Linked DNA regions of Nothobranchius furzeri. The protein of the gene in region 1 interacts with the protein of each later gene in a pairwise test. Links are inferred from orthologs where the notes say so. Each region holds a gene or a part of one and is shown in the gene's direction. Other genes may lie near its edges.

What was found. The genes of interacting proteins can lie anywhere in the genome.
Region 2: the proteins of rabac1 (region 1) and syt16 interact in binary tests that used the Homo sapiens proteins (3 or more experiments, as listed by UniProt). The link is inferred for Nothobranchius furzeri from reciprocal best matches to the Homo sapiens genes RABAC1 and SYT16.
Region 3: the proteins of rabac1 (region 1) and nif3l1 interact in binary tests that used the Homo sapiens proteins (3 or more experiments, as listed by UniProt). The two-hybrid records come from large-scale screens. The link is inferred for Nothobranchius furzeri from reciprocal best matches to the Homo sapiens genes RABAC1 and NIF3L1.

Annotation. Positions count from the first base shown.
Region 1 is NC_091745.1:74,795,572-74,799,325, reverse strand, and holds the start of rabac1 (prenylated Rab acceptor protein 1), read left to right. Parts: upstream 1-1,256; 5' UTR 1,257-1,391; intron 1,392-2,382; 5' UTR 2,383-2,396; coding exon 2,397-2,518; intron 2,519-2,595; coding exon 2,596-2,808; intron 2,809-2,951; coding exon 2,952-3,049; intron 3,050-3,256; coding exon 3,257-3,358; intron 3,359-3,477; coding exon 3,478-3,566; 3' UTR 3,567-3,754. UniProt on the Homo sapiens protein: General Rab protein regulator required for vesicle formation from the Golgi complex. May control vesicle docking and fusion by mediating the action of Rab GTPases to the SNARE complexes.
Region 2 is NC_091758.1:9,733,189-9,736,942, reverse strand, and holds the start of syt16 (synaptotagmin-16), read left to right. Parts: upstream 1-1,329; 5' UTR 1,330-1,489; coding exon 1,490-1,502; intron 1,503-3,534; exon of another isoform or gene 3,535-3,754. UniProt on the Homo sapiens protein: May be involved in the trafficking and exocytosis of secretory vesicles in non-neuronal tissues. Is Ca(2+)-independent.
Region 3 is NC_091756.1:34,572,057-34,575,810, reverse strand, and holds the start of nif3l1 (NIF3-like protein 1), read left to right. Parts: upstream 1-1,575; 5' UTR 1,576-1,710; exon of another isoform or gene 1,711-1,728; intron 1,729-2,281; 5' UTR 2,282-2,291; coding exon 2,292-2,865; intron 2,866-2,960; coding exon 2,961-3,117; intron 3,118-3,385; coding exon 3,386-3,509; intron 3,510-3,715; coding exon 3,716-3,754. UniProt on the Homo sapiens protein: May function as a transcriptional corepressor through its interaction with COPS2, negatively regulating the expression of genes involved in neuronal differentiation.

The DNA of each region.
Region 1 (3,754 bases):
ACCTAATTTAGTAATTTAGCAATATTTTAACACAATTATCAATTGTTTGAATAAACGTTCTCCAGTTTGGTTTATTTGCTGTTATTTACCCTATTTTGTTGAGCATTTTTTTAAATAATCTATTAATACTGATTGTTATTGGAAATTAAACAAAAATATAAAATATAATTAGCTTTTTTGGGGAAAATGCAACTATTTACACCATATTTTCTGACATTATTTATACTTATAGTCGACTAAGTTATAATATATATGTGAGATTTTGAAAAAATATGACATAGAAATGTATTTTCCTCGGGAGTCAGGATATAAAATGTTAATGTACGTGAGCTCAGTGTGTGTGGAGCTGAACATTCCTGCCTTTTACCGTTTCAGCTTGACGCTCTCCACACACACGAACCAGTCAGCGGTGTCGTTTTTATCTTCAGGCAAAATGTGTATGAAAGCAGCTGGAGGCTCCTGAAACGACTCGTTCCTCTTGTGTTACGGTTTTACGCTTTATACGAGTTTATGTATCCTGTCACGGTTTCTGTGGAGAAAAAAACGGTCATTAAACACCCAGCCAGGACAGCTGTTGAGCTGAGTAAGCTAAAGAGCCGAATAAGCTAAAGCTAACGGAGCCAGCGTAGGCTAATATGCTGCTATGGCGCTGTGTCCCCCTTTAGTGCATTTGTAAAAAAAAACGCGTACATTTTGTTTTAGCATTGAAACGTTACTTTATTAATGACTAACAAAAACAGAACTGTCATAAACCCCAAGGTCTGAAGATTACATTTAACAACACGTAAAAACATTCCAACAGCTAAATTTGATAAGATAATTAATAGCGCCTCACCTTCTAATGTTTGTTTCCTTTCTTTCGCTGGCGGATCTAGCAACTTCCACAGTGCCGCGTGCCCAGTGACGGCAGCACCACAACACTCGTCTATCTACCAATCACAGCCTCTTTGTTTGTTACATGACGTAAGGTCACGTTTTTACCATTTCTGATCTGCAGTCAGTTTTTCGTGCTTGTGTGGTTTTGAGCAGCCACCGCAGAAAACAGGCAGCCGATCTCAGGTCGGCTTTTTCAACAGATGTGTTTTCGGCTGTTAAGAGAAAAAACTCCGTTTTTTGGATGAAGTAAAAATAATGCAAAAAAATAAATAAATAAAATAAAAAGTAATACAAATGAAAAGTTCCACCTGTGTTGTGTAACACAAAATTCGAAGTACTCTATGTAGCCAGTAGGTGGCCCTGCCTAGAGTCAGCGAAGTAGGAAGTTTTTTCTTCTTCTCCAGCAGCCACATCACTTCCGAGATCCAGAACAGCAACAAAAGACAGCTCAGGCTGTCTGGTGAAACTTCTGCCTACATTTTGGTGAATGATTTAAGGGTTTAGCATTTTGGCAGGTATGTTGTAATTTAAATTCTTATTTTAAAAACAAGTGAAAATTACGTTGACGTTAAATAAAATCCGGAAGTAGACGTAAACATTAGCTCATAAGCTAGCATTTTACATTTACATTCAGGTTTTAAATAGACTCGTCGTGAGTATAATATTTATATTTGAAATTGCTACTTCTAGACACTGTTGTTTGGTAACGAGAGTTTCTCGGTTATCCTGTTTATTTAGTGATGTGGCACTGGCCGGGCCCTGTTTCTACTTCTTCCTGTTTCTCTAACTAAGGATCGCCATTAAACTAGAAAGACATGTAATCATTAGACAGTGATTGTTTATACACTTGAGACCGTTTTAGATTATGACGTGTCAAATGTGGCGTTTTAAAATACGAAAAATCAAAAGTTAGCTCCATTGACATTTGCGATTATTGCTTTCAAAACAGCTTAAGAACCAGGGAGGTTTACTGGGAACACGAGGAATATGAAAGATAAAATAAGAAGTGTTGGGGTTAAAACATGTGTCTACAGTAGATCTGAAGGTCAATGAAAATGGTGCAGTTATAGAAACGACCATATGTCAAGTTTTCAGTCAATATATCTTTTGGAATCCGTTTTGTGTGTGTGTGTGTGTGTGTGTGTGTGTGTGTGTGTGTGTGTGTGTGTGTGTGTGTGTGTGCTAAAGTACCTTTTTTTAATTTCTCAAATTGTTTAATCTTTGGTATTTTGTCATCGATTCTAATTTAAAAAATAGGATTTAAATGTCCACTACACTACACTACACCAGTTTCAGAAATGTTTTATGCCTGAAGGATTTATAGACTAGAAATAAGGGGCTTCATAGGCAAAAAATAATAATAATAATACATCTACCAGAAAATGAGTGGAAACGCAACCAAAGTCTAAATAAGATGCTACACCGTTGCATCAAATAAAAATGAGTAAATCCAGGCTAATTGTTTTTGTAAAAGTTTAGTCCACATTCAATGTGATTCTGTTTCAGTCAACAGTCTCTAAATGTTATCTGGAGTGCCTAAAGGGGAGAACGTCATGGTGGACATGGACAGCAAAGCTGGAGATTTGTTCATCCCAGATGAGGCCCATCCAACCGGCACAGGGGGCATCGGAGTCCTCTCAAGGTGTGAACCACCATGCTTTCATATTTTTACCCTGGCTTTGGTGTGTTGATGATATTCTATTTTGTTTATTTTTATAGGCTCTGGCTTCCTAAAGGCATCTCGGCCAGCATGGCTAAGGAGTGGTTCGACAGGCGCAGGTTGTCCATCCGACCGTGGGCCAGCTTTGTAGACCAGCGCAAATTTTCAAAACCTCGCAACTTTGGAGAGTTGTGTCAGAGGGTGGTTAAAAATGTGGAAGTTTACAACAGCAACTATACCTTCATATTTCTGGGGCTCATCCTCTACTGCATGTAAGACCTAATCAAAGAGAGCTTCATTAAAACAAAAAATGTTAATTAGATCATCTGTGAGACTCTGGCTTCTAGAAAAATGTCGACAGTCTGCTTTAAATAGCTCCAGCCTGACAGCCCTGTTCATTTTTCCTGCTCCTCAGTATCAGCTCGCCCATGCTGCTGATTGCCTTAGCCGTGTATGCTGGTGCCTTCTACGCCATCCACCTTAAGTCTCTGGAGTCCAAACTGGTTGTTCTCGGTGAGTACATTTCCTACAAATCCATAATCTTTTCAAATTTACCAGATTTAGTTTTTTTTTTTTTTTAACATTCAAGGTCTATTTTTTTTTATTCTGTGTGAAACCTTTTAAATATGTCATCCATGCCTGTTCTGGATTTAACCCACGCTGCATTTAGCACCACAAACCCTATTTTTAATATTTTTCTTCATATTTCTTGTTTATCAGGCAGAGAACTGACAGTCCCACACCAGATGAGTCTGGCTGGAGCCGTTTCTCTGCCCGTTTTCTGGTTGGCAGGAGCCGGAGCCGCTGTGTTTTGGGTTCTCGGTAAGCTGAACATGATTTGTTCTTTCCTCGTAATCTTTTTCTGATGTTTCATCTTGATTAAGAACTAAAATCGTTTCTTTTTACATCCATTTTTCCTGTTCTGTGTGGTTTCCTGTCAGGAGCAACTCTGTTTGTGATCGGCTCTCATGCTGCGTTCCGAGAGTTGGAGGCGTCGGACCTGGATGAGCTCCTCATGGAGCCGGTCTAAAGAGCTGCTCCATGATCAGTCCTCGTTTTGACCCTTTGAGAATCTCCTTGAAGATTTTTTTATATCTATACATATATCCTTCTTCCTCATGTTTACCTTATGGCATTGTATTACGAATGCACCTTATGTTGCATGATAAATAACTGTTGTTACACAAATGCATAAATAATGAATTTCTTATTGCTTGA
Region 2 (3,754 bases), on another chromosome or scaffold:
AGGTCAAAGAAAGACCTGTCAAAAAGTTTGATGAAAGGTGGGTCCTTATATCTCTCTCATGGCACATAACAAGCTGAATTAAAGGGACTATAGAGATCCGGACGTCACGTGACTCTCAGAGAGTAGACGCCATATTGGCAGGCAAAAAAGGTAAACAAACACGGATCTTAAACATGAACATGAATGGGATTGGCTTGGATTTTACTCCGTCGGAGTTCACTTCTCACTTTAAAACCGAAGAAACCATTTTATATAGTCATAAATTAATTATCTCCGACCCTTACCATGCCCCTGGGATAGTTTTTAAAATGCCAGAAGCTGTCGGAGTGGACCTACCGGATTTGAGATACCCTGACATTTACAATTTTCTTATTAATTTTCCCTCGTCCTACTCCGGAGCATCGCTACGAGCATATAAAAGCCTGGAGGGATACAAATGGACACAATCAGGGTTTGTTGTCAGTATCCAGTCTGGATTCTTTCTGCAAAGGACAGTGCTGTTGTCACCGGGAGGGTAAGTGGAGATTTTTTTTTTACCGTTAGCAACAGCCCGTTGCTAGGTTATCTCTGTGTGAAACGTTGTGCGTTCATGAACCTCAGAAAAATAACTTCAGTATTTTCTTAAAACATAGATGTGAAACAGAACTGTAAACTTGCATCACTTAACTCTTTAGATGCCAAAGGTGTAAAATTGCGACAAGCAACATTTCTGACTGTTACGAGCCACAGTTGCAGATTTGATCACTCATTCTGCCAGGAGATGATAGACATCTGTAACTTAAATCTAAGACACTTTTAATGTGTGTTATCATGTAAAAATTTGGAGTAAATACAGTTTGAAATAATTAATTTTAAAAGTGTCCTTACAAATAAAACAGATATTCCTACCAGCTTCTAAAAAATATATATAAAAAAAAACTTTACCGTAGTCAAATCAATTAAACACACACACACACACACACACACACACACACACACACACACACACACACACACACACACACACACACACACACACACACACACACACACACACAAATAAAATATAAACAGGTGCCTAAAGAGTTAATGATACAGGAGCAGTTATAATGATGGTATTAAATCTGTGTTACAGGCGAATCACTCCCAAAGATTAAATGACCCTCAGTTGAAGCCATGGGTGGCCATCAGGAATGATGGAGTGGTGCTATTAATCTGAGTAATTCGTGTGAACCCTAACCCTGCACCTGATACAGGTGAATGATGCAATGCTGGGTTCCGTATTATTGTTTTATTAATTACAATGATTGGACCGTGACATATAAATGTTTTTGGCTGTTGTTGGGAATAATAATAAAATCACGGTTCGGTCCAGTTCGGAGAGAGGGCGGGGCGCTCCACCGCTTGGTGTGCGCTCGTTTTATAGATCTAGTGGCTGCAGAGAGGCGGGGATGCTGCCGCCGATCTTCCCCATCGTTCCGCCGTCAATTGTGAATAAACGCGGAGAGCAATGGCCTCGGACAGTAAGTAACTGTTTTATAGATGTTTGACCGTTTCTAATGCAGATTTTATTCATTTCATTTCTAAACTGGAATCCGTTCAGCCCGACTGGGATCGAGGGAACCCATAGGCCAGCTGATCGCTTTCCTCTGACGATGGCTGCATTATTATCATTATTATTTTATTATTGTTATTGTTGTCAACGGGGATGATCGCGCTCGTCTGTGGCATAAAGACCACCTGTGCTGTTGTAAGCAGGGCAGTTGCCTCATCTCTAGTCTTATATCATTTATTTGCACTTTGCAGATGTAAATTTCCCCCTTTTGCCAAACCAGCAGGCGGAACCTGAGCATGTGCAGATCCTCAGTCAGTGGTGCATCATGCTGGATCAGGTTTAGGGTTTAATGCCCTGCAGGAGAATCATGACTAGGATGCAGGAAGGGTTCTGCTTGACAGAGTTTTACAGGCCTCGCTCAGCGTGCAGAAACTCATTTATGATGGTAATAAACAAAATAAGCAGCTCCACAGGTAACACACCTGTAGTTCTGTTCAAATCAAACAGACCCACTCAGGCACAGCTACAGCAGCAGGGTTAGAGGAGGTAACGGTGGAGTCCACCATAGCAGCAGCGATGTCTGAATGTCTCCCGCCTTTGATCATCTGTCTAACTCAGACGATGACGCATGCTGCCATGTGGCTCTACTCATGTAACCATGCTGAGATCCCTCTGCTGCTGTGGTTGTGCTCTATGACCCAGTTTGGTCCAGCTGTTGGATGGATCTTCTCACATGTGTGTCTGGAATACTTTGGTAATTGGAGGAGTTCATGTCCAACCCAATACCAGGCCCAAATCATCAGCTCTCCACCACCGTGCTAACTGCTATTATGAGGTTCTGGTGTTTGCTGTGAATCATGAATCTGTGGTCCTCATGAGCATCATGTGGACCCCTGGGAAGCTCATCAGCATCTTAAGTGTTGTTCTTGGTGTGTGTAAACACACACCTACGCTCCAGACCGCCACAAACCCCTATCACGGTCGTTCTGATGACAGTAGAGCTGAATGATGTCAGAAAAAACATGCAGATTTTTGGTTTACTTGTCTACGTTGTGATAAATCCACATTTTCTTGACTCTCACCACGACGTAACAAAGCATCCCTCACAACTCTATCATCTGGGTGCAGAGAGATGGACAACACAACCATGACAGCTCTAGCTAGCTGTGAGTAAGAGGAGGCATCGTTGAGACGTGTTGTGACTAAACCGCAAGAAGAAACTTGGCACAAAATTCATTAAAATATTTTCACTGATTGTTTTGTTTGTTGGTTGTTGCCTCAGCCTGGTGGGTTGTTGCTGTTTCTGAGTGTTCTGGCCTACTTTCAGCTCCTCTTCCATGTCTAATTCATGTCCGTCTCCTCCCTTCTCAGGGATGGCGCGCGCTCTGAGAGCCACTTAATGCTGCTGTTTCAGGAAACTGGAACCAGCCTGAAATCCATGTTTGTTCCTGTCTGTTTGAGCAGTGGGGCCTAGCGATGTGCTGCCCTCCTTTTAGCCTTAAGCCAAGCCTCGGACAGTTACCGGTTTTTAGCACGCTTTGCTGTAAGGGTGGAGGGAGTTTAAAGTTGCATTAAGTACAAATTACAGCAGAAGTTTCTGATTCAGAAGAACAGAAACCTTTCCTGACGTGTGATTAGACTGGAGACCTGTCCTGGACGTCCCCCACCTGCTGGCTGATGGAGGCAGAGCAGCTCCCCGCGACTCTAGTGAGCAGGGTTCAGAGGAGGAATGGAAACCATTTAGTTCAGCTGCTTTTGAGTAAAAGTAATAAATGATCATCGGAGGCCTCCCGAACGACCTCTGAGTTATATCCAACAGGACTGATGAACTAACAGCTGAGCACAGATTCCACAACAACTCATGAAAACAGTGTTTTATACATCACTGTTGTTGCTTTCCACGATTTTTTATGTGTGTGAAATTCACCAGCTGCAACAAAACGCAGCTCTTCACTACAACTAAACTTTATTTATATAGCGCCTTCACATGGCCCAAGGACCAAACAAAGCGCCGCACAACAGAAATGAACATGAAGAAATAAAAACATATAAAACCATTTAAAAACCAACAAAAACATGCAGGTAAAGTCTAGGTGGGGGAGCAAAAAGTGCAAAGCCATCCGTTAACGAGACTCCTCTTGAGTAAAAGCCAAAGAATAAAAGTGTGTTTTCAGACGGCTCTTAGAATTGCCGAGCGTGGTGGCCTGACACGTAGGTAGC
Region 3 (3,754 bases), on another chromosome or scaffold:
GATGAACGAATGAATACAGCTCGTCAGTCGTCAGGTCTTTCCCTGTTTAGTTCCAAGTTCGTTTCTGAGGGGTAGTTCCTTCTCACTTGGTGCTTGTTGCAGACAGCCAGCCTTTTGAGGGGCAGATATTTATATGTAAAATAAATAAATAAACACATAAACATACAGGCATCGGGGATGGAGTGGGCCTGCTCAACCTTTGGTGTCCCAGGTGCAGGAAGGTTCTCATTTATAAATATTCTAGGTGTCTTGTCAGTGTTTGGTTGTAAAAATAAATAATCATTAACATAAGAAGGGGTGTCTCTGTTCCTCCTTTCCCATGCACGCTTCATAGAGGGAGTCTCTTTAGTCTGAGAAAAAAACCTGTTTCATTCCCACTACAGCTGGCCTCCTGCACCATGTGAAGGTCAGTAGATCCTTCCATTTTATAACATCACATAAAGAGCATTGTGTAATACAGAACACTTTATTAAAGCTGTTGATCACCTTAGACTCTGTTTCTATTACTACGAGTTGATTGAATAATTCAGAATCTCGTTATTTTTAGAATTTAATTACTTCAGCTTGAGGAATTCAGGATAAAGTTAATTAAAGTGTTTTTGTCTACTTTAGGAAAACAAAGAGTAGAAGCTTACTGGTTAGACATCAGTGTCACTGCAGGTCACAGATCAGCTCTGAGAAGCATTTTCCATCTTAGCTCTTTCATAATGTACTCTCAAACTCGGAAGAACAACGTGGATTAGTAGTCATTTTGTAGATAGCTCTTAAAACATGATTTAATCAAAACACACTAACGGTTAGAATTAAACATTAGAGATAAAGTGTGTTTCCTTATGTGAAAGTGGTGACAAATTTACAGAGAAAAGTTTAATGGCTGTGGTGGATAGTTTTTTGTTTTTTGGTTATTTAGTCTATCATAAAAGAAAAAATGGGAGTTGATTTTTCTATTTCATATTTTCACAACGTTATACATACATTTATAAATGTTAAAGTTCCCAACTAAATATTTTGTTAGAAAGCTAAAAAATAAATAAATTCTAAGTTAAATATTTATTTTTAAAAACTAAATATTTTGCTCATACTTAAATATTTAGTTTGTAAAATAAATACTTTATTTTGAACTAAATATTTAGTTTACAAATTAACCATTTAGATCTGACCTAAATGGTTAGTTTGTAAACTAAATATTTAATTTACTATGTAAATATTTATTTTGGAGCTAAATATTAGTTTACAAACTAAATATTTAGCTCCAAATCAAATATATATTTTCCAAAATAAATATTGAGATCCCAACTAAATATTTTTTAGGGCTAAACCTAAATATTGTTTTTTGTAAACTGAGTGTTTAGCTCCAAAATAAATGTTGGGATATAAATGTTTATTTTGAAAATAATAATAAAACAATTCCTTTTCTGACGTGTAAATGAACTTTAAAACTCACTAAATATATAATTCAGCATTTGTTTTACCACTCTTTCCGTTACAACGTCTAACACTATTATTTTATGAGTTGACAGTGCAGAAAAAAAGCACTTTGGCTAGGCTAGGACCAGGACCATCGACATTACTATAGACCAGGACCAGTTAACGGAACGGAAGCTGAGAAGGGACATTTAGTGAGTTCTGCAGAAAGTGTACATTTGTGTGTCAGTCTGACAGAAACGTAGCGAATATAGAACAGCCGTGGTTTTCTTCCCTGAAAGGCTGGTAAGAGTAAATAAGAAAGTAAGACACCCCAACTTCAAATGTTTATTCTCTGATGTACACTTTAGCTGTGCCTATGTAGCTCTTTATGCTAGTTGGTTAGCGTAGCTGTTAGCAGCTAAAGCTATCAGGTTAGCATTACCAAAAATGTTTTGTGTGAACATAAAGTCCAAATGTGTATAAGGTGGGTTTAGATTAAAATAAATTCTGTAATGTTCTCTGGGAAGTGTCTGCTTTTAGGCAGCACATAAAAAGAAAGCTTTGTCCTGTTAGCAGCAGTATTCTGTTTCTGTAATTCATTTATTTGTCACTGGTAGGTTTTTATTCAAACACTTACACTTAGTTACTTTTGATAACAAATGCAAAAATTGACAAACTTTCGTTACTTCTGACCTGTTGAAGTCCTGAAGTTTCCTTGGCTGATCAGTTAGTAGGTTATTCCATAAATATCTGTCTAATAAATATTTACTATATAAATGTGATTATTGAATTATGTAATTAACAATGCCACATTTATAGATATTGTGAAAATGTGTCACCCATCAGTTGTTTTTATTTCTTTATTTTTTAACAGATCTCCTCAGATGTGGACTGGATCCAGAAGTCTCTCCTGGACTGTTTTATCCTCCATAAGTAGAAAAAAACTTTTAAACATTAAAAGCCTAAATTCTTCTCTCTACTCTGCCCCCCCGCCCACTAAGAGTCACCACTTCCTAACAAGCAGACAATCTGTTTATTTGCAGCCTTTTCCTAATTTCTCTTCCGTCCTCTGCCTGTCTGGTTCTGCTTCGTGTTCCGGCCCAATGGAGTTAAAGGAGGTTCTGGAGGTTCTGGAGCAGCTGGCTCCTCTGTCGCTGGCCGAATCGTGGGATAACGTTGGCTTACTGGTTGAGCCAAGCAAACATCGTGTGATTAAAACCATCCTGCTGACCAATGACCTGACTGAAGCGGTCATGGAGGAGGCTGAGGCTGTGAATTGTGACCTCGTCGTCTCGTACCACCCACCTTTGTTTCGGCCCATTAAGCGTCTGATTCAGAAAGACTGGAAGCAGCGGTTAGCCATTCGTGCTGTGGAGGCTGGGATCGCAATCTTTTCCCCTCACACTTCTTGGGATAGTGCTAAAGGAGGGGTGAATGACTGGCTGGTTGGGGGTCTTGGTAAAGAAATCCAAGAGTTACCTGTTAATGCATGTTTTAGCTTAAAGACTGCTATCAGTTGACTGTCTTTTCTTGTTTTGTTTTTATCCTTTCAGGCCGCGGTCAGGTGTCTGTGCTGAATCAGGCCCTCGGCGGAGCCTCCCACTGTCAAAAACTGGAGTTCATGGTTAGGAACGCCGAGGAGCTCAATTCTGTTGTAGAGGAGCTGAAGGCTTGTGGTGACGGAACAACTCTACAGTTCACCAGCAGCAGGTTGTTAGAAAACATGTCGCTGCACATGGAGATGATCTCAGAAACACGTTACATTTGGGTGCATTTTGGGGACAGTTTAGGAAAATACAACATGTAAATTCACTCCATAGAATCAGAAAGTTTGACAGGATGAGTCAAGTTTCACACTTTAATTTATTAATTGTTTATTTAATGCTTCATAAAACCAAAGTAAAATCATATAAATCCCAATACTGCGCTTTTTCAGTTCCCTGCACTGTGGTGTAACAGGCTCATTTCTCTCTTATAGACCAGACAGCAGCTGTGTCCATGTCAGTGTGACCTGCAGTGACTCAGCACTGACCTCTAGTGTCCAGACTCTGTTAAAACACAGCACACCCAGCCAGTCTCTTAGCATTTTGAAGCTGGAGAAGGTAGGACAGCTCTTAGTTCACTTATGAGAAAAGAATTTAACTGAATCCTGAGGATGACACACACACACACACACACACACACACACACACACACACACACACACACACACACACACACACACACACACACACACACACACACACACACACACACACACACACACACACACACACCAGTGATTTTCCACCTCTTGCTTCCCCTGCAGCCTCCTCTTATGGGTCACGGTCAAGGCCGACTCAGTGTT